Linked DNA regions of Pelodiscus sinensis. The protein of the gene in region 2 purifies or fractionates together with the protein of the main gene of each other region. This does not show direct contact. Links are inferred from orthologs where the notes say so. Each region holds a gene or a part of one and is shown on either strand. Other genes may lie near its edges. The genes, in order: STRN4, SIKE1 and STK24.

Region 1 (7,955 bases), on a different chromosome or scaffold from region 2:
TCCACCCGCACCCCAGACACACCTTGCTTTTATCAGCAATTCCCTTTCCTGTTCCACTCATAATCCCTCCTACACAGCTCTCCTCAGCCTCGCCCTCCAGACTCAAGTCACAGTGCTGCTCTTCTAGTAGCTTAATCTCATTTAACTCCCCAGCCCTCTTCGGTTTTACAATCCCTCGCCTGGTACCTAGAACTCAGTCCCATCCATTGCCTTTCAGGCCACTGCTTGCATCAAACCCTGCTGTGTGGTCTGGTTCAATTCCCCTTGCTACATAGACCAGCTATTATAAACCAGCCCATATACAAGCAGGTACCCTAAAAAGCAGAAGTTTATGCCTTACATCCATAGCAGCCATTTGGATCCTGAAATCTGAGACCTTCTGGAGATGTTTTACAGCCTGCAACATGCTTCCAGCCTGGCAGATGATAAACTACTACTCTTCACCTCTTCCACCCGTTCGCCATGTGAAAACAGGGCATCAAAGTGAAGTTGGCAAGATCGGGTCAATTTTATTCACCTCTCTCCTGTGCCCTGCAAACCCATCAGTGTTTAAGAAGATAGTAACTCTCTCACCCAGGTGCTGATGGGTTGCACCATTCAAAGGTCCCTGGCTCACTGCCCCTCTCGAGGGGGGCTTGAGAAAGTGCCATTTGGGACAGGGCATTCCCTTGACATCTTCAGCACCTACTTCCATCCCAACCAATTCATCCTTCCATCCCTGTGGAGCTGAATTCACCCATATTACTAACCTCAGATCCATTGGCTGTGGCTGCTCACGGAAGTTAATAAAATGCTTCACAGCCCTAATCCCTGGGCAATCCTAGCATGGTTGTTTGGGGAGATTTCTGGTTCCTCACATCCAAATGCCATCTCCAGAGCTACTGGGGAAGAACAGCCCTGCTAGTCTTCATACCCTAGCAGGGAGATCACCATCCCCTGCTCCTTAAAACATATGCAGCTGGGAGAGTGATATTCCCTTGGCACCAAACACCAATAACTGGGAAGCTGCTCCTCTTGACCAGACCCAGTGAGGCTACCCAGGGAAGCGACCTCCCTGCAGCTCTCTACTAGGATATGATGGCAGTGTCCCACCTCAACCCCATATCCCCACCACCAGCTATTACCGGTCTGAGTATTTGCTGTCCGCTCTCCCTTCTTCCTTAGTTGCCATGGGGTTGACAGATGCATATCCTTACCCCAGTTCTTCCCCTGTCCGTACTGGGAGGCAATGACTACATTTCTCCCCTTGTCACCTCCATTCCCTCTTCAATCCCTCTTGGGAAGCATCAATTATTTCCTGGCCTGGCCCCAATAATCACCCCAACTCCACTGCTAGTTGCTATGGGGTTGAAAACTGTATTTCTTACCATCACCCCAATTCCTTCACTGGTCACTAAGGAGAGAATGACAGTCGTGTTTCTCCCCCAGTTCACCCCAATTCCTATTAAAGGGTAACAGATACAAAAGCCCAACACATTAATTCCTTCCCTCAGTGTTATGGGGAGGCAACTGTCACATACCCCTCTCCTCCCCCCAGTCCGCTTCATTCCTTCTTGGACAGGAATGCTCAACACCCTAATTACAACTGAGGGGTGCCAACTTTGGGGGGGGAAGGATCCCAATACCTCCCCCATTCCGTATCCCCCTCTAATCACTCACCTCCAACTTGTCCCTTCAGCTCCCAGTCTCTACCCAGGTCTACGCCCCCTCTCCCTGTCAGGGGGTCAGCCCAATTCTGTGACGGGGTCCTGAAATTTCCCAATCCCCCCAGGGGGGGGATCCCAGTACTGGGTGAGCCTCTGACACTCCCTTTTTCCTCTTATGGGAAGTCCATCAGTCCTGGGGATCCTGATACTCCCTCTCCATGGAGGTTCCCACCCATGTTCCTGGGGGGGAGGTGACCCTCCCCCCATAGGGCTTCCCCAGTCCTGGGGGCCCTATCACTCCAATTTCGGCCTCCACCGGGAGTCCCCCAGACCTGGAATGCCTTGACACTCCTCCTATGCCCCCAGGGAGTCCCCCAGTCCTGGGGGGGTCCCCTGACACTCCCCCTTTCCCCCCATGGGGCTCCCCCAGTCCTGGGGGGCCCTGACACTCCCCCTTTCCCCCCATGGGGCTGCCCCAGGCCTGGGGGGGGCCTGACACTCCCCCCCATGGGGCTCCCCTAATGCTGGGGGGGCCCTGACACTCCTCTTCCCCCCCCACGGGGCTCCCCCAATGCTGGGGGGGCCCTGACACTCCTCTTCCCCCCCCCACGGGGCTCCCCCAATCCTGGGGGGGCCCTGACACTCCTCTTCCCCCCCCACGGGGCTCCCCCAATCCTGGGGGGGGCCTGACACTCCTCTTCCCCCCCACGGGGCTCCCCCAATCCTGGGGGGGGCCTGACACTCCCCCTCCCCCCCACGGGGCTCCCCCAATCCTGGGGGGGGCCTGACACTCCCCCTCTCCCCCACGGGGCTCCCCCAATCCTGGGGGGGCCTGACACTCCCCCTCCCCCCCACGGGGCTCCCCCAATCCTGGGGGGGCCTGACACTCCCCCTCCCCCCCACGGGGCTCCCCCAATCCTGGGGGGGCCTGACACTCCCCCTTCCCCCCCACGGGGCTCCCCCAATCCTGGGGGGCCCTGACACTCCCCCTCCCCCCACGGGGCTCCCCAGTCCTGGGGGGGGCCCTGACACTCCCCCTCCCCCCCACGGGGCTCCCCCAATCCTGGGGGGGGTTCTCCCCCCCCGCGGGGTCCCGTCGGCCATTTCCCTCCAAGATGGCGGCAGCGGCGGAGGCAGCGGCGGCCCCGGTAACCCCCCGCGGCTCCCCGCGCCCGGCCCGGCCCCGGCACCTGCAGCTCGGCCCGCTCGGCCTCCCAGCGGCTCTTCTCGGCCTCGAAGCGGGCCCACTCGTGCTGGATGTAGTGCAGGATGCCGGGCAGGCTCAGCTCGCCGGGCCCGGAGCCCGCGGCCGGCCGGCCCGGGGCCTGCGGCGGGGGGGGCGGCGGCTCGGCCCCCGCCGGGCCCGGGGCCTGCTGGGCCCGCACCAGCACCCGCTCAGCCTCCATCATGGATCCCGGCGGCTGCCACATAGGGAGCCGCGCGGGGGGGCACTTCCTGCCAGATAGTGATCCGCCAGGAAATGGGGCCCGCGCCGCGGGACGGGGGCAGGGAGGGGTTCCCATGGCAACGCGCCCCCCCTCCTCTCCGCGGCAGGCTCGCTCCCCCCTCCGAGCGGAGGGTTTCCCCTGGCAACGGGCCTCTCCAGGTAGGCTGCTTCCCCCAGCAGGGGGTTCCCATGGCAACGCCCCTTCCAGGTAGGCTGCTACCCCCCTCTGAGTGTGGGGTTCCCATGGCAACGCCCCTTCCAGGTAGGCTGCTTCCCCCCTCTGAGTGTGGGGTTCCCATGGCAACGCCCCTTCCAGGTAGGCTGCTTCCCCCCTCTGTGTGGGGTTCCCATGGCAACACCCCTTCCAGGTAGGCTGCTTCCCCCCTCTGAGTGTGGGGTTCCCATGGCAACACCCCTTCCAGGTAGGCTGCTTCCCCCCCTCTGAGTGTGGGGTTCCCATGGCAACGCCCCTTCCAGGTAGGCTGCTACCCCCCTCCGAGTGTGGGGTTCCCATGGCAACGGTCCTGCTCCGGTAGGCCTGCGACCCACCCCCACAGCAGGGAGTTCCCATGGCAACGTCCCCTCCCATTCCCCCCCCCCAGGAATATCCACCCCCCCAGCAGGAGGTTCCCATGACAGCACCTCCCCCAGAGCAGGCTTGCTTCCCCCTTGGCAACCACATCCTCCAGGTAGGTCTGCTTGTCCCCCCCCCCCCCCCGGAAGTGGGGGGTGGTTTCCATGGCAACAGGTCCCTTCACCTGCCCCACAGCCAGAGCAAGGAGAAGGGTTCCAGGGGCCCCCCAGAATAGGCCTGCAAGGAGAGGGGTTCCTATGGTAACAGCGCCCCCCTCCAACCTCCCACCTTGCAGGCTGGGTTCATCCCACCCGGAGCAGGGAGAGGGCAGCTCCCATGACAGTTCCCCCTCATAGCCTGGTTCAAATGCCCCCCCCCCCAACAGCCAGGGACGGGTTCCCATGGTAACACCTCCCATGCCTCACACCCCACTCAAATTAAAGTGGGTACCCCAGTCAAGTTCCCTCTAGAATAGGGTCTCTTCTCTGCCCTATCCCAAAAGCAGACAGTGAGCAGTTCCCATTTCAGCAGGGGGTCTTGATCAGGGCCCACTCCAGGGAGGCTTCTCCTACCCACCCACAGCAAACAAGTAGAGGTTCCCATAGCACAAGGCTCCTCACCACTGCAAGTACAGTCACCTCCACCCAGGACTGCATAGGCCACCCCAATGACAGGCCGCCTCCTTCCCAGATCATGCTCCTTCCCAAAATACTGTTCTCTCTGCCCCCCAGGGTAGATCCCTTCTCAGCACAGAGTTGAGACTTCAGTCTGGTTTGGAGGAAGGCAAATAAAATCTGCCTCCTCTCCCTAGCCATAATGCTGGAGTATTTCATCCATTGCCGTAGCTCCATACTGGCCCCTATTCAGAGCAGTTACTGTCCTTTCAACTATTCAGTGGTCACCATTTTCTTTCCCCATCTACATCTTTATCTGGAGCAACTGCTAGCCTTACCCCAAATCCTCCATTGCTTGGTAGTCAGCTTTATCAGTGTGCTTCTCTCCTTCCTTCCCCCCTCACTTCTATCCCAGTCACTTCAGGATCCTTGTTGATTGTCACAGAGTTGTCATACCTGGTCAGAGCGCGACCAGGAACAGGTAACAGGAGAGTTTGGAGAGGGAGTTCTCCAGGGAAAAGAGGAGTAAAAATGGGACCCTTGTGGTAAGTGGCTGTCTGGAGTGTGTGTTGTGTGGGGGGGAGTTATTTGCAGTGTGCTGAGCTTGTGTTTGTCTGGTTTGTTTGCTTTGTTTGTTTGAAGGAGCTTCTAAAAGGTTTGAAATCTAGAAGCCTCTGTTAATTGGCTGAGCCTCAGTCAGGGGGAGGGGCTACCAGAGCTATATAAGCCTGTGACTCAGCGACCTGGGAGAGCACGGAGAGTGCGACCAGGAACAGGTAACAGGAGAGTTTGGAGAGGGAACTTAGAGGGAACTAGTGACTTGTGTCCTTCTTTAAAACCTAACTCTTAGAATAATCTATACTCCAGAAGTTTTAAAAGAATCCCAGTTTGTACTTAAACTTATTCATTACAAACATGGAGACAGAAGCCCAGCAGCAGAGTGGGGGCTATCCTGTTTATTGCATCGAGTGTAATATGTATGATTACCTGCCCTGTGGGCGGGTGGCGTATGTGTGCACCCGTTGCAAGGAGCTCCTGACCCTCAGACCGAGTTCGGGCTTTGGAGGACAGGGTGGCTGAACTGGAGGAGCTAAGGGAGGTAGAGAGCTTTGTTAATGAGACTTTCTGGGACACTGTAGTACTGTCCCACCTCCAGTCTGAGAGCCCCAGTGTTCTTAAGGAGGATGAAAGTCTCAAGGGAACAGAGCATTTAATGGGAGCAGAGGGAAACCATCCCATAGTTGGGACCCTCCTCCCAGAGGATGTTGCGGTATCCTCTCGCACTGAGGATGCCTCTGAGGGGGAGGGAATGCCAGTTAGGAAGAGGCAGGTGTTAGTAGTGGGTGATTCGATCGTTAGAAACATAGATAGTTGGGTTTGTGATGACCGGGAGAACCATATGGTCACTTGCCTGCCTGGTGCGAAGGTTGCGGATCTCTCGAGGCATCTAGATAGACTTATGTGTAGTGCTGGGGAGGAGCCTGTGGTCGTGGTACATATAGGTACCAATGACGTAGGGAAGGGTAGGAGAGATGTCATGGAGGCCAAATTTAGGCTGCTAGGAAAGAGACTGAAATCCAGGACCTCTATGGTGGCGTTCTCGGAAATGCTTCCGGTCCCACGCGCAGGGCCAGGTAGGCAGGCAGAGCTTCAGAGTCTCAATGCGTGGATGAGACGATGGTGTAGGGAAGAGGGGTTTGGATTTATTAGGAACTGGGGACACTTTTGGGAGAGGGGGAGCCTATACAGGAAGGATGGGCTCCACCTAAACAAGGGTGGAACCAGACTGCTGGCACTAAACATTAATAAGGCCGTAGAGCAGTTTTTAAACTAAGAGATGGGGGAAAGCCGATTGGTGCGGAGATGCATGTAAATCGGAGAGAGACTTCTCTTAGAGGAGAATCCGTTGATAGAGATTCTCTAAGCTGTAGTCGGAAAGAGAGGAGGGGAGAGGGCAAACCATGGGCCAGAGCTGACAAACAACCGCATAAAAGGAATCCAATGCATCAGGGAAGGGCAGACAAATAACCAGTGGCAAATTTTTAAAGTGCTTGTACACAAATGCTAGGAGTCAGACTAATAAGCTGAGTGAACTAGAGTACCACGTATTAAAGGAGGAGATAGACATAATAGGCATCACTGAAACCTGGTGGAATGAGGAAAATCTGTGGGACACAATCATACCGGGATATAAAATATATAGAAAGGATAGAGCAGGCCGGGTGGGTGGCGGAGTGGCACTATATGTGAAAGATAATGTAGAATCAAATGAAATAAAAATATTAAATGAATCAACATGTTCCATAGAATCGCTATGGATAGAAATTCCATGCTCCAATAATAAGAAATTAGCAGTAGGGATATATTACCGGCCACCTGACCAGGACAGCGATACTGACATAGAAATGCTGAGGGAGATTAGAGAGGCTACCAAAATAGAGAACTCTATAATAATGGGGGATTTTAATTACCCCCATATTGACTGGATACATGTCACCCCAGGAAGAGAAGCAGAGATGAAAATAATTTCTCAATGGCTTAAATGACTGCTTCTTGGAGCAGCTAGTGCAGGAACCCACAAGGGGAGAGGCAATTCTCGATTTAGTCCTGAGTGGAGTGCAGGATCAGGTCCAGGATATAACCGTTACAGGACCGCTTGGGAATAGTGACCATAATATAACAACATTCAACATTCCTGTGGTGGGAAGAACACCTCAGCAGTCCAGCACCCTGGCATTTAATTTCAAAAAGGGGAATTACACAAAAATGAGGAGGTTTGTTAAACAGAAATTAAAAGGCACAGTGACTAGAGCCAAATCCCTGAAAGCTGCATGGAAACTTTTTAAAGACACCATAATAGAGGCCCAACTTAAATGTATACCCCAAATTAAAAAACATAGCAAGAGACCTAAAAAAGAGTCACCGTGGCTTAACCACCATGTAAAAGAAGCAGTGAGGGACAAAAAGGTATCTTTTAAGAAGTGGAAGTCCAATCCTAGTGAGATAAATAGAAAGGAACATAAACACTGTCAAATCAAGTGTAAACATGTAATAAGAAAAGCAAAAAAAGATTTTGAGGAACAGCTAGCCAAAAACTCAAAAAGTAATAACAAAATGTTTTTTAAGTACATTAGAAGCAGGAAGCCTGCTAAAAAGCCTGTGGGTCCCCTAGATGATCGAGCTATAAAAGGAGCAATCAAGGACGAAAAAGCCATTGCGGAGAAACTAAATGATTTCTTTGCTTCAGTCTTCACGGCTGAGGACGTTGGGGAGATTCCTGAATCTGCACCGTCCTTTGTGGGTGATGAATCTGAGGAACTGTCCCGGATTGAAGTGTCATTAGAGGAGGTTTTGGAACAAATAGAAAAACTTAATGTTAACAAATCTCCGGGACCGGATGGCATTCATCCAAGGGTTCTAAAAGAACTTAAATGGGAAATTGCTGAGCTATTATCTGTGGTTTGTAACCTATCCTTTAAATCGGTTTCCGTACCTAATGACTGGAAGGTAGCCAACGTGACACCAATATTTAAAAAGGGCTCTAGAGGCGATCCTGGCAATTACAGACCGGTAAGTCTAACTTCAGTACCGGGCAAATTTAGTCGAAACAATAGTAAAGAATAAAATTGTGAAGCATGTAGAAGAACATAATTTGTTGGACAAAAGTCAACATG
Region 2 (7,100 bases):
ATTTTTCACACAAGCCAGTACAAATGTGTTCCCTGGATAGGAAAACAATAACATAATTGTGCAGTTCCCCACGTGTCGGTTCCTCTGCCCGCGGCCCCCCGCCCCAGCGCTGCTGCCTCAGATAGGAGGGAGCAGTGTGTGTTGTGGGGGGCGGGGGAAGGAGGGTGTGCAAGTGGCTTGCAGGAGCAGACACGTGCTGGGAGCTGGCTTGAAAGCTGGATTCCTGTGTGTACAGTCTCCCACCTGCCCCCCCATACCCTCCACACTGCTGCCTGTCTATTAGAGGCAGCAGCATGTGTGTGTGGGGCTCCACGGGACCCAGTGCCTTTGGGAATCGGCTTAAAAGCCATCTCGTCACAGGCACTCCGATGCATTTCTCCCTACCCCCACCGCCTGTGTGTGTAGAATCACAGAAGACCAGAACAGGAAGGGAGCTCGAGAGGTCGGGTCTAGTTCCCTACCCTTGTGGCAGGACCCAGTATCATCTAGACCAGTGGTCCCCAACATGGTGCCCACGGGCGCCATGGCGCCTGCCAGGGCATTTATGTGCGCCCGCCGAGTGACTGGGGCCGGCTCCGCCCCTGGATGCATGAAGCATGGGCGGTGCCAGCCCCCAGGCAGACCCGGGCGCACAGCACGTGAGCGGCCCCGCCCCCGGCAGCACCAAAAGGTTGCGGACCGCTGATCTAGACCATCTCTAACAGTTGTCTATCTAACCTGTTCTTAAAGATCTCCAGAGATGAAGATTCTACAACCTCCCTAGGCAACTTATTCCAGTGTTTGACTACCCTGACAGGAAGTTTTTCCTCATGTCCAAACTAAACCTCCCTTGCTGCAGTTTAAGCCCATTGCTTCTTGTTCTATCCTCAGAGGCCAAGGAAAACAATTTTTCTCCCTCTTTCTTGTGACACCCTTTTAGATACCTGAAAGCCGTTATCAAGTCCCCTCTCAGTCTTCTCCTTTCCAAAGTAAACAAGCCCAATTCTTTCATTCTTCCTTCATAGGTCATGTTCTCTAGACCCTTAATCATTCTTGTTGCTCTTCTCTGGACCTTCTCCAATTTCTCCACATCTTTTTAAAAATGTGGCACTCAGAACTGGACACAACACTCTAAATGAAGTCTAATCAATGCAGAATAGAGCAGAAGAATGACTTCTCATGTCTTGCTCACAACACTCCTGGTAATACATCCCAGATTCAGGTTTGCTTTTTTTGCAACGGGGTCACAACTGTTGACTCATATTGAGTTTGTGGTCCACTATGACCCCTAGATCCCTTTCTGCAGTACTCCTTCCTAGACAGTTGCTTCCCATTCTGTATGTAGTCAATAAGGTTACCCAATAAACCTAGGCTTATCAGTTAATCTTGTGCTTGATTACATGTTGACATCCCTAGTGCTAACACACTATTTTGTGGTTAGAGACTCTTCACCCAAAGTGCTAGGGAAGCGCACATATCTTAACACTCAGAATAAAGTTTATTTCAGATACAGCCCAAGTTTATAACAGTAATTTACCACTATTAAAATGCACCAGCAGTACAAATTTGCATTCTCTGCATGATCCAGACTAGACTAAAGACCCTTGATTGTTTCATGAAAAATTTAAGCATAGAGCCATATGATTAATGCCTTGCAAATAAGTCAGGATCCCCTTGAACTATTTTTCATCCAAATTGCCTATCACACTCTTGGTACTGATAAATTCATGCTACATTTAACACTTTTTAGCCATGCAAGAACATAACTTTTCTTGAAACAAATCAAAACATCTCATCCTAATAACACATCTGCTGGCTAATTTACTTAGATTATGGATGCGAAAGTTTAACTGTTTACATGGTTAACCAATGAGGGGGCAGGCAGGAACTACTGCCTCCCCATATAACCACTAAAATTTTCAGCAAGTTATCCAATTACTTAAAGTAATTTTTTTTAACATCCCTAAGATATGGGAAGAAAAATCAAGCAAATACTTTCATTTCATAACTGCTTTGATGCAACATAGGTTTACCATTCTTACAGTATTGAAAAAAGATTTTACTGAAGTTCTCGCTCATCAAACCTAAATCTATGTGTGAACCAAATGTTTTCCTTTTAATCTTAGCTGCTATAAATACCCTTCAACTAAACAGCCAGAGCAGCAGATCCTTCAAGTCACACTGATCTCTGTATTTCTATATTTGAGTTCATGACCTCAGCTGCAAAGACAGCCAAGGTAAAGCTATACATGTTGTGCAGTTTAAGGTCTTGCACATTTTCACATTTGAATTTGTTTAAATAGGGATGAAATTAAGAGCTCCATAGATGCACCTTTTCAATTAATCAGAACCAAACGTTGCCAGGCTGCAGCCACCACCCTTGTATGCCAGGGAAGTGAAAGAGTAGCTGGCGATCTGGTAAGCAAGGGGAGTCCCGCTGTCCCCCTTGCTGTCTCTCAGGGAGAGGCTGGAGGAGACGGGATACTTCCCAGGGGCAGCAGGGGAGCGCCCGGCCTGCACGCGGCAGTTCACAGACAGCGCCCCGCGGAGCCGCCAGCTGATGGCAGGCCCCATGGGCCCGGCCTTGGAATGCCACGAGGAGCCCCTATGGAACCTCGCCTCCCTCGCTCCCCCGCCCTGCGCGTGGGACGGACACTGGCTGCGCGCTGCATGCCGGGAGCTGTAGTTCCCCCGCGACCGCCACACGCAGAGGCTGCCGGGAACTGTGGGCCCGAAACGGCTCCGGCCCCGCCGCTCGGGCCCACCCGCAGGGAGAGCGGGGGGAGGGGCTCTGCCCGTCCGGGACCGTTGGGCGGAGGGGGGGTGTCGCGGCCCCCGGGCCCTCCTGCCATTCGCCGAGCCCGCACTTACCCCAACAGCTCAGCGCCCCGCTCCAGCGCCGCCGCGGGCAGCACGCACAGCACGTAGGAGTAAATCCCGGCCTCTCGCGAGAGCCGCGGAGAGAAAATGCGCATGCGCGCGGAGAACTCGGGAACGCGCAAGCACAGAAAGGGAAGCCCCCCAACCTTGGGAAAGTGCGCATGCGCGCGTCCTTCCCGTCCCCGCTGGGGCAGAGGTACCTGTGCGCTTGCGCGAGAAGCGACGCTAACCAGTGAGGTGGTCGGGCCGCAGGGGGGCGCCCGTGACAGCGGCTGAGGAGCTAGACCGGTGCTAGCGGGTATTTTACACTCAGTGCCACCTAGTGGCTGAACGGTATAATGCAGTTTAGCGCTTCATTACAACAGGGTGGGTTGGGGACCCCTGGCTCATTAACGTCGGGAGGGCGACATGCAAGTGAGGAGCAAACACAAGACTCTCGGACGCGCCCCCGACTGATGAACGGGAAAAAGAGACACACTCGCCTCATGGCCTGCGGTGCCGGGGTTCCCCGTGCACGCCAGCCCCGCGAGCTCAGGGCTGGTCTCCAGCGTCAGATTCACTTTGGGAGGCCTGGGGTTTAGAGATTTATGGGCCCTTCAGGCTCTGGGGATCAGTGTGCGGGCTGAAAGAGCGAGGGTGCAGGAGTGGAATGAGGGTAGGTGGCATGTGAGTGGAAGGGGACAGGTAGGTCAGCTGTACTGTCGGGTGCTGACCAGCTCTACTCCCCACACACTACTCCTGTCATTCTCCCTCCCACCTCCACAAGCAGAGCCTGCAGGCAGGAGGCAAACCGCAGCTTGCGTGGATCCAGCCCACAAGGCTTGGTGTTTCCACCTGCCACTGCCAGCAGCACCAGTGCCTGCTCATCCTGCTGCAGAGCTCCAAGACCTGAGGGCCAAATCCAGGCAAGCTCTGGGGCAGATGTGGACTGTAGGTTTCCCATTCCTGCATTACAAGGTCCAGGAAACCATTACCGACAAAACAGAACTGAGCCCCCACACATTCTGCCCAATTGCAGAGCTCTAAAATCTCAAGGCTCAATTGGGAAAGTTTGGAAGTCCTGTCCTTCCTCACCCCCACTTTGTGCTTAGTTCAGCATTTTGTCTGTTTTAAATGATAACAAAAGGCCTTGCAATCAGGTTTGCAGAAGGCTCTTGTGTAGAGACGTTTCCTTTTTTTGGTAGCTTTTATTTCATACCTATCGTAACCAGATTAGTCCCCATTTTTTCTAACACTTGCTCTTGTGGCTTTTATTGTTGCTTGTCCTTTGCCATGAATGGTCATGGTGTTTCTCAGGATCCCAAGAAGCTTTCACAGAGACCTTTACCTTGTGATGATACACTGTAAAGATCATAAAAATAATGGTCCATTCTTCTCTACTATTTTTCATCAGACGACAAAGCACTTAATAATCTTTTAACATATTTAGCGTCACAACACCCTGTGAGATAGGAAATTATTATTATCATTTCCATAGAGAACTGAGGCTAAGTAATTTCCCTAAACTTATCTAGAAAGTCCCCAGTGGAGCAGTGGATGGCACACAAGTCTCTTATGTTGTAAGCCAGTGCCCCAACCACTGGACCATCCCTCCTACAGTCTATTTGCAATGATAGGGATAGTGGGAGACTGAGAATGTCATAAAGTTCTCCTAACTGACTATAGTTCTGGAAATTCTCTTAGGGTACATCTAGACAGCAGGGCTAAAGTTGAATTAAGCTATGCAACTTCAGCTACGTCAATAGCGCAGCTGAAGTCAAAATAGCTTAAATTGACTTTTGGCACTGTCTACACAGCTGGAAGTCAAAGGAAGAACACTCTTCCTTCGGCTTCCCTTACTCCTCATGGAAGCAGGGTTACCATGAGTTGGAGTAAGAAGTCCTCCAGTTTAACATTATTTAGAAATAAAGGCTTGTAGTGTAGACGTGCATTGTGTTATTTCGGAATAACGTGAGTTATTCCGAAATAACGCTGCTGTGTAGATGTCTCCTTAGAGACATGGTATATTTGGAGAAAGCACCAATATAACAAAAACTATGTGAAATGTAGCAGGATATGGATAGGACAGCCATGAATTACCAAAACAGTCTGCTGAAAGGTTTTCTATGATTTCACAGTTTAAAATGTTGTATTAATTGAAATGGTAGGGCTAGGGCAAGGGATTGGGAGTCAGGACTACTAGATTCATTCCTAGCTATGGAAGTTGCATGTGATCTAGTAGTTTGGAGTTAGGAATCACAGATACTGTGTTCTGTTGAAGATCCACTAGACGCTTGCTATGTGACCTTTGGCAATTCACTTCACTTCTTTCTGCCTCTGATTATGCTTCTGTGAAATGAAGATGATCCAACCTTCTTATTACACATGGTGTGGGCTAATTAGTGAATTTTTGGCATGCCTTTGAGCTCCTTGGTCAAGAAGAGGCAAGAAAGTGCAAAGTATTATTGTATTATTACATATTTAATATGTGCACATAATGACAATTTTTTCGTCTGTGTGACCTGCCCATGGAAAGAAAGAGCTCATTGACGTGGTGAATGATGCCTTTGAACCATTGGCAACACAGAAATCTAGAATTTTGGTAAGTAAAGCTATTGCTAAACACAGGTTTACAAATAATCCCATTCTGTAGGGCTGCCTAGGTGTAATTTTTGTGGAAATTTTGTGGTTATGTTCCTGCATAAAGATGACCCAAACATTTATCTGGTTTAGTTCACTTAATAGGTTGTGTATAAATACATATATTTTTTGACTGAGTCTCTTGAACTAGAAAATGTATTTTCTAAACTGTGACGGGGTGGCCCCGCCCCGCACTCAAGCCCAGGGAAACCACCTGGGGCCGGGGGCGGAGAGGGCCCCACCCACACAGCCCTACTGGGCATGCTCCAAAGGGAGCAAAGGTATAAAAGGCTGCTGGCCTGCTCAGAAGGGGCAGACTGTGACCCGAGCAGGAGCTAGCGACCACTGGCCAGAGAGGGAGTTGCCAGGGGAGCTGAGCGTGCTGCTGCCGGGCCTCTGCCGGGCTCGGCCCCAACGCCGGAGCTGCCGACCGACCCCCCATGACCCGAGCACTGGACCGGACTCTGCCAACTCTGCAGCGGCCAGGGGGAGGACCGCTACAGCCCATCGACCGACGCCGACAGGTGGGATGCGGCCGGCTGCGAGCAGGGGGTAGGAAGCGACCCAGGGCAGGGAGCTGGAGAAGCCCCTGAGGGCTCGGGGCGTTGCGGGGAGGAGCCCCCGCCGAGCCAATGGTGGGAACCACCCGAAACTACTAGGGCCCTGGGTCGGGGTCTGGTGGAGAGGGAGGGCCCGGACCCCCCTACCCCTGCTGCCTGAGACCCTGGCACGTGGGAGCAGGGTAACAAACTGCAAACTGTGGACTAGGCCTCCGGGCCTGCAAACTGAGGACTAGGCCGGGAGGCCGTATTTCCCCTAGCACAGGGGCATTGTACTTTGGGACTAGGCCGGTGGGCCGTATTTCCCCTACGAGAGGGGCAGGGTACTTTGAGGGCTAGGCCCAGACGGGCCGAGTTAGGCCCCGGATGGGGGTGGCAACCCCGAGACAGGGGCGAGCCCACTGACATAAACAAACTGAGATTTCTCAGAAAAAAGTTTCTTAGGGTTGTTCTTCCCCTACTGTACACACTGGCTACAGAAATAGCCTTGAAAAACATAATAAAAACAAACAGTCCTTTTACCATGCTTTTGTCTAGAGAAAATAAAACTTAGTGCAAATGACCACAATACATTTTCCCTAATTAAGAACGTTGAAATATAAGCAATTTTAAAATATTGTGGTTTTTTTTAAATATAGTAAATCAATTTAATCCCCGATGTAACATTCAGCTAAGGGAATTCTACTGGGATAATTTTGACTTAGTATTTACTACTTAAGCTAGTATGTAATGAATACCAATGTCAGGTAATGTTGTATATTTGTAGCAGGGCACACATCCTTGACCCAAGGGGGTTCTGGTTACTTATTTAAATACCCCCTTACACACTGTTTGATAAATTCTAGGCTGAGTTTTGTTTATCCATCATCTTATCTAATATTCCTGTTTGTTCCTTTTCACAGTAAACATCCTCCACTCAAGTTAAAATAACAGAATTTCTGTTATGCTGACTTGGTTCTTTGTTACTCATTTGCTAAGTGAAGTGATTGTTAGTGACATTTACTGTCCTTGAAGCTTAATGTACCTTTGTTCTACAGGGCTTTTAGCTTTCCATTATTGGCA
Region 3 (7,785 bases), on a different chromosome or scaffold from region 2:
TTCACAGTAGGAGAAATATCTGTAATGCCCTTTCTGAATGACTTGTTTCACATAAACACCAACACTTGGTCAGGAGATTTCAAGAGGGGACTTCAGAAACTAAAAGTGGATGCCAGTTTATTTTGTTCGGCAATATGCTTTTTAGGCTTACTACACCCAAAGACAGTGATAGAGTATCATGCCCTCTGAGTGAATATTGGTGATGGACTTTTTCCTCAAGTTGCCTTGGATAACAAGGCCAGGCCACTGGAAGTACACAATTGACTGTCCTACTGGAAGTGGGTCCTTAGAGAAACCTTAAACATTAATCTTTCTGCAAAGAAGAAATACCTTTTTGTACTTGATATATTAAAACTCACTGCAGCTGATTTACTGTAAAAAAACTAGATATTTTCAAAGAAAAATAAAATCCAAGAGATAAGTAAAGCTTGTAACCAAAGCACCAACCAAAACCCAAACAGGATCTCTCAGCCTTTACTTAAGGCTATTCTACTAAACACCTTCTGCAAATAGGTCACAAGTTAGCAAATTAATTTTTTGATCCATTCAGGTAAAAAATAGGATAAAGTTTAAACAAAACTCCATGTTTAAAAAGCATACTTCTACAAAATTGTTGTGACAAAATTGTTAAAATGTGGTAAAAGTTGGTACTGAGTTGTTTCTAGTAGTTTTATGCCAATTTTTATTATGTTTTAAATGTATTCTCAAGTTGAACAATAAACTAAGAGTGAAAATATTCTAAGTTTAAATTGATCTAAATATACCACTGCTAGACCTGAATGTCACCAGTAACAAGTCTGTTACTTAAAGTTTCATTTCTTCCTGTCACTAAGTGACAAAACAGACACGTACTATTTTATTCTTCAGGTAGGTCTGGAAGCAAACTCTTTACAAACTATAAACAGTTCACTCGTTTTAGGGTTTAAAGGGAGAAAATATTTCCTCTTCCATTGAAAAACTATTCTTCTATTCAACCTCAATTTTTTATGACAAGGACATCAGTAGAGCAACATTTTTAACTGTAAAACACACACAGAAAAGCATATTCTTACTTTTAAATAGGATCCATAATACTTGGTTACATAAGGACTGTCACACTGACTCAAAACTGTGATTTCTTGCTGGATGTCCTCTATTTCATCTTCTGCTTCTTCTAGATCAATAATTTTTATAGCAACCACTTTCTGAGTCCAATTGTCAATTCCCTTAAAAACTTCACCAAAAGAACCCTTGCCAATTTTCTCCAGTTTTGTGAACAGTTCTTCTGGATCCGCTTTTATATTCTGTTAAATTTATAAAAAGAAAAAGATACTCAATACTTGCTTTCAGTGTTACAAACAAATATGTTAACATTTCTAAAGACAAAGATTAATGACTTTGTGCAGCTCATTAGAACTAAGGATTTAAAAGACAGTGTAATTTGTTAACTGGTTAAAGGTGAAATTTATTTCACCTTTAACCAGTTAACAAATTAAACGGGCCACTCCAACCTGTTGTGCTGGAATTCCCTTCTTCCCCCCCTTAAGTGTTTGAAAAACTGGGTACTAGATATTCAGCTAGCGACCACAGAGCCTAATGTGTTCAAAAGGTTTAAATTACAGTTCCTGCAAGAAACATGATACAATGAAATCTGTCATATCTTTTTTAATTAAAATTAATCCATGACATAGTCAGATAGAATTTTACAACTTATTTCCTCGTTTTAAACAATTACCAGACATACGGAACACCTAAGCATATTTTTCTGAATAATAATGAGTAATTTTAAGGGTCTCCAGAGGAGATGGATGACTTTGCACAGTACATAAAAGTCAGGAGCCCTCCAGGTCACAACAACAACTGATTTGAGTGCACACTGTCTGTAGGTGGAAGGGAGAACATTGTGCATGTGTAGTACATGCCAGGGTTAACAGTTTAAGTCTTTCCCATTAATATTTCCCCTATGCTTTTGCAAGTACACAGTCTTCTATAGATATATGAATGGGTATTTTCAATTAAAATCTCTAGGCTATGCTAGCTCCCCCCCCAAAAAAAAAAGACCTGAATTAGTGCATGAGATAGATGAAACACTAACCAGAAATAAATTTACTTTAAAGCCACACCAAGCATAAAACATTTCAATCCCAAAAGGTAATTTGAGGAAGTTATAAGGAAATAAAAAAAGAAGGCTGGGCCTCAAAGTGGCATGTCATGAAGTAGCATCCAAGCTCTATTAAAGATACATGGGGTCCAATTAGAACAATACACAAACACTGACAGTTTTAAGGTTTCTCTGCGAGGGCTTTGTTATTTTATTTGAACTAATAATAAGACAAAGACAGACAAAGTAGGCAGGGATGCCTAGCCCAGGGATCATGAGCCCCTTGACAATTATTCAGAAACACATACCGGCCCTAACTAAGCAATTCACATGACAAAACAACCTCCACCCCCTCCTCCTCCCAAAGCGCATCCTGCAGGGCAACGCTTTTGCACTGCAGGGAGGGGTTGTGTTTCCAAAGTCAACGAGCCTCCCCCCCTTCGGGCGGCCTCTGGCTCTCCCGGAGCAAGGAAGGGAGCCAGGCGCACGGCCCAAGCACCTCCGCCTTGATTTAGCCAGGCGCTGGCAAAGCCGTTTGTTTCCCAATGACCGCCCCCACCCCGGGCACGGGCACTGATGGGCGGTGCCAGAGCAAAGTGGCTTTTCCCGGCAGCGGCACGACCGCCCCGAGGACCCCCAGCCGCACACGGGCCGCAGAGGCGGAACCTGGCAGCCCCCCCGCCCGCGGGCGTTTCCAGCAGTGCCGGGGCCCGCACGCCTCCCCTCCAGGCAGTTTATGCCGCAACCCCCGCCCGGGCGGGGCCAGAGTCTCACCGGCATCTCCCGCAGGCCGGGCTGCACCGGGGACTGAGTCATGGCGGCGCCGACGCGCGCTCCTCGGGGCTCTGCTCAGGCGGCTCTAGCGACTGGAATCAGCTCCTCGCCCCCTCCCCCACGCACGACTCGCCGAGCGTCTGCGGGCGGGAGCTCCCTGGCGCTCCTCGCCCCGCCCCGCTTCAGGTCCCGTCAGAGACTCAGCGTCGAACCCGAGCTCCCCATTCCCCTGCGCCGCGCGCGTAGAGCGGTCGTTACCGGTCCCGCGCGAAGGGGGGAGGAGGGGGCTGCTAACGTAACGCAAACCAGCTCGGGCGAGGGACAACGGCCGCCGTGCAAGGGGCGCGCGCGCTCTCGCCCCGCCCCCGAATGCCGGTAGCGGCACGAGGCGCTTGCCGGGCTTCGCGCCCGGATGATGGTGACCGGTCCGGGCTCGCGCAGATCCCCGCCGCCCTGCAGCTGCCAGCGGTGAATCGCCGCGGGAGGGGAGGTCGCGCCCGCGGGGGGTGTCTCGCGTGAGCGGTGTCTGGCCTTCGGGGCCGCGCGCGCGAGGGGCATGTGCCCCCGAAGACGGCTGGGGAGCGGTGTCTGGGGCAGTGTCCTGTGTCTGAGGGGGGCTCACTGGCGAAGGCAGGGCGTAGTGTTCCCTTGTCGTGAGTATCCGCCTAGGGCTGGAGCCTGAGCACAATGCGCAAAAACACCTACACCAGACATTGTGCTAACCTGCACCCTACTGCCATTTGGTCCCTTTTATCTGACATGCTGCAGTGATGTGCATTGGATTTACCTCACTGGCTTGGGAGCTCTTTCTCTAGATTGCCAACTAGCAAGTGAGAGAACTGCCAATGAGCCATTTGAGTAACTCTGACCTGTTATCAATATTTTTTCATCACACCCAGGGGCGGCCCTAGACTAGCTGCTAGCAACTGGCATCCTAGGCGAACCAAGCAATCGGCGCCTCCAACCCCAAGGGCAGATATAGACTGAGGTTTTTGGTTCTGTGGCTGGAGCCAAGGGGGCCGGGGATGGAGATCTGTGGCTGGGGAAAAGGGAGAGGGAACAGGGTACCAGTGGGGGGAGAGAGTCCCCTGCAACCGCCTCCTCCCCCAGAGGGAAGCTGGCACACGCCTCTCCTGGGACGACCCCCCTCGCTTCCGCGGCACAGGGGAAGCTGTTGCCTGCCTCCCCCAGGGCCGACCCCCCTCCTGTGGTGCGCCTCCTCCCCCGGGGCCGACCTGCTCCTCCCTCGGCATGGGGAACCCCTATGTACTGCTTCCCCCAGGGCCGACCCCCCCCCCTGCAGCCAGAGAACCCCCACATGTGCCTCTCCCAGGGCCGACCCCCCACCCCCTCCGCAGCGCAGGGGAGGCCGGCACGTGCCTACCCCGGGGCCAACCCCTCTCCTCCCGTACTGCGGGGAAACCCACGTGCGCCTGTTCCCCCGGGGTTGATCCCCCCTCTCACGGTGCAAGGAACCCCTGCGCATTGCCTCCCCTGGGGCCAACTCCCCACGCTCCTCCTCCGGGACCGACTCACCCCTCCTGCGGTGCAGGGAAGCCGCACTCCTCCTCCAGTGCTGAAGTCAGGCGTTGGGGGAAGGGGAAGTGGCAGGGAATTTGGCGCCCCATTTAACTTGGCGCTCTAGGCAGCTGCCAGGTTTGCCTATAGGCACGGGCTGCCCCGATCACACCAGTCATTTGTTATAACCTCACCTATGCAGAGGATATCATGCACACACAGAGGAGTTGATTTCCCTTTCACACCACTGTAAGACTGGGTCTAAATGTAAAAATTGAATTGATCTGTTTGTCCACATGTGGAAAAGCACACCTCCACTGTAGGACTTACCTGCATTGCTGAAAGAATGCTTCTGTAGATATAGGAGATGACACCATCACTCAGGGAGATGATGTTTCTATATCAATAGAAAATCTTTCAGTCAGTGTACGCTGCATCTGTATTATGGTGTTATGATAGCATAGCTACCACAACACACAAAAAAACAACAAAAGGTCTGGTAGCACTTTATAGACTAACGCAGTTAGACCCCTGTGGGGTCACGACGAATTTACAGAGGGGTTGCAGCTGGATCCGGTTTTTTTCTTGAAAGAATGTGTCTCTCTCCACATGTAAAAAAAACATGAAATACCGGACAGAAGCCCAGCAGGGGCAATTTTACCCTGCCTCATATGGCAGGGGCGGGGAGTGAGGAGCGCTGCAGAGTCTAGTGAAAGGGGGGCAGGAGGGAGCAGTCACCAGGCGCCACGTTGGGGGGGTGCCAGAGCGTGCGCTGCTCTGGCCAACGTGAGCAGCAGAGTCCGACAGCTGGCCACATGATGCTCCTGAGTCATGCTGTGAGCTGAGGCGGCCGGGCCGGGCTGGGCTTCAAGAGCAGCCACTTTGAAAGTAAGAGTTTCCTCGTGCCTGGCTCTGCAGTGGTGGGGGGGAGATTAGATTGGAGCATGCTCCGGGACTCTGAGGATGCCTCTCAGAGGGAGGAGGGAGTGCACTGGGATGGGGGGGTGCTGGGAGGCCTGCCTCAGGTGGAGGGGGGAGTGCACTGGGATGGGGGGGGATGAGGGCCTGGCTCAGGGAGGGCTGGGTGCAGTCCCAAACTGGACAAAGTGGTGCAACTTTTGCTTAACGACTTTTGCTTCCACCCCCCCCCCCCTTTTTCTTTTTTTTGCTTAACAACTTTGGTGAGGGTGCGGGGTGTCACACATTCATTTAGCATTTTAGGGGGTCGTGGTATCACAAAGTTTGAGAACCCCTGGACTAACAAAACATGTAGATCCGTGGTCACTAACAGGTTGATCGCGATTGACTGGTCGATCATGAGGCCTCGACCAGTCAATCGCGCCCCCATTTCCCTCCCACCCTCAAGAAGCCCCACTACCTACCTCAAGTGAAAATGGAGGTAATGTCGACTTCCCTGGGATGGACAGAAGTCCTGCAGCTTAGCGCCACTTCCGACGATTCTGGAAGTGCGCTAGCTGCTCTGCCAGGTGTACTGCGGAAGGGAGCATTGGCTCACTGCACCGCACAGGAGGAGTGAGTCAGCCCCGGGGCAGGCGCGCGGGGGGTGGGGGTCGGCCCCGGGGTAGGCATGCGTGGGGGTTCCCTGCGCCGGGGGGGGTCTGTGCGCAGGGCTTCCCTGTGCCGGGGGGGGGGTTGACCCCAGGGCAGGCACACGCAGGACTTCCCTGCGCCGGGGGAGCGTGTGAATTGGGCCCCGAGGAGGCACATGCTGGCTTCCCGTGGGGGGGGGGGGGGGGGGAGAATCCTGGGAGGTGGCAGATGCAGGGGACTCTCTGCTTCCACTGCCCCCCTCCTCCTGTTCCCATTGCCCCATTCCCACTCCCCACTGCCCAGTTCCCTCTCCCCAGCTACCGAACTCTGTCCCAATTCCCATCCCCACTTTTTGAACTCTGTCCCCATTCCCCTGTCCCGATCCACAGAACCCTGTCCCCACTGGCACCCTGTCCCCTGCCAAAGCACCCACTAGCACCCTTCCCCAGTACTATGTCCCCTGTTCCCACCAACACAGTTGGGACCACATTAGTGAAGCTTAGGGGGGGTGAAGGAGGGTTTTTTTGCATCTCACTTGTGTGGCCCCAACTGACTTTTCTTGGGTCAATGACCCCTGACTCAAGAAAGGTTCCCTGCCCTTCTGAGAAATAAAGAAAATGCAGAAACTTTTTGTTTGATACACTATTTGATTTAAAAATGAAGCCTAGCCAACAAACCCCAAACTGGGGCTAAGAACCCATCTGGCCACAGCATCATAACACTCCTGCGCTTACCTTTCCCCCAGACCCTACATCGGAGCCTATCATACACTGGAAACCCCTGTCCTGAGCCCCTCACATACCTCAACCCAAATTCCTGAACCCTCACATCCAGAAGTCTGTGGCTTGCTTAGTACCCTAACCCTACACTGCCCGGCCTGGCGCCCTCTCCTCAAGCCAGTGTCCTCTTATCCACCTTCTCCTACATCCAGATTTCCTCCCAGAACTTGCACCTCTCACCCCTTCCCACACCCAAATCCTTCATTCCCACTCTAGAGCCTACACATTCTGTCTCAACCCAGCAAGGTTACGGCTAGACTGCAGGAGTTTTTCAGGATTCCGGAGATATCCCAGAAAAACTCTTCTGTATCCACAGATGCATTTGTTCTTCCACTTCTTTTAGTGGAAGAGCAAACATGATCTTTCGGTCACCTCTATATTCCTCTTTCCACAAGGAATAAGGGGGCTTCCAAAAGAAGGGGTTTTTCTGACATTTGGTCCGGTCTAGACAGGCCAAATGTTGGAAAAACCTCTTCCTACAGAAGAATTGGGGAAAAAAGCAGCGGTATAAGGGTTGGGGATAGCAAGTGATGGAGAGGAGGAGAATAGAGAGGGTGGAGCTTCAAGGAAGGGGCGGGGTGGTAGATCTTGGCTTGTTCTGTCATTTAAGAAGTGATCTTGGGTGTGAAAAGGTTGGAGACCACTTACGTAGATGGTATCATGAGCTTTGGTGGGCACATGATACCATCTACATGTTTCGTTAGTCTATAAGGGTATGTCTACACTCGCCACCCTAGTTCGAACTAGGGTGGTTAATGTAGGCAACCGGAGTTGGAAATGATGCCCGGGATTTGAATTTCCCAGGCTTCATTTGCATATTGCCGGGCGCCACCATTTTTAAATGTCTGCTAGTTCGGACTCCGTGCCCGCGGCTATACGTGGCACGAACTAGGTAGTTCGGACTAGGCTTCCTAGTCCGAACTACCGGTACACCCCGTTCCACAGTACTAGGAAGCCTAGTCCAAACTACCTAGTTCGTGCCGCGGGTAGCCGCGGGCACGGAGTCCGAACTAGTGGACATTTAAAAACAGCGGCGCCCGGCAATATGCAAATGAAGCCCGGGAAATTCAAATCCCGGGCTTC

What was found.
Region 1: the proteins of SIKE1 (region 2) and STRN4 purify together in Homo sapiens (affinity purification with mass spectrometry; 3 studies listed by BioGRID and IntAct, with this or other methods). This does not show direct contact. The link is inferred for Pelodiscus sinensis from reciprocal best matches to the Homo sapiens genes SIKE1 and STRN4.
Region 3: the proteins of SIKE1 (region 2) and STK24 purify together in Homo sapiens (affinity purification with mass spectrometry; 4 studies listed by BioGRID and IntAct, with this or other methods). This does not show direct contact. The link is inferred for Pelodiscus sinensis from reciprocal best matches to the Homo sapiens genes SIKE1 and STK24.

What each region holds. Positions count from the first base shown.
Region 1 is NW_027465849.1:5,732,652-5,740,606, reverse strand, and holds the start of STRN4 (striatin-4), read right to left. Parts: upstream 3,077-7,955; coding exon 2,837-3,076; intron 2,795-2,836; exon of another isoform or gene 2,744-2,794; intron 1-2,743. UniProt on the Homo sapiens protein: Calmodulin-binding scaffolding protein which is the center of the striatin-interacting phosphatase and kinase (STRIPAK) complexes.
Region 2 is NC_134737.1:578,138-585,237, reverse strand, and holds the start of SIKE1 (suppressor of IKBKE 1), read right to left. Parts: upstream 3,010-7,100; 5' UTR 2,851-3,009; intron 1-2,850.
Region 3 is NC_134711.1:249,514,329-249,522,113, reverse strand, and holds the start of STK24 (serine/threonine-protein kinase 24), read right to left. Parts: upstream 3,052-7,785; 5' UTR 2,897-3,051; coding exon 2,855-2,896; intron 1,284-2,854; coding exon 1,053-1,283; intron 1-1,052. UniProt on the Homo sapiens protein: Serine/threonine-protein kinase that acts on both serine and threonine residues and promotes apoptosis in response to stress stimuli and caspase activation.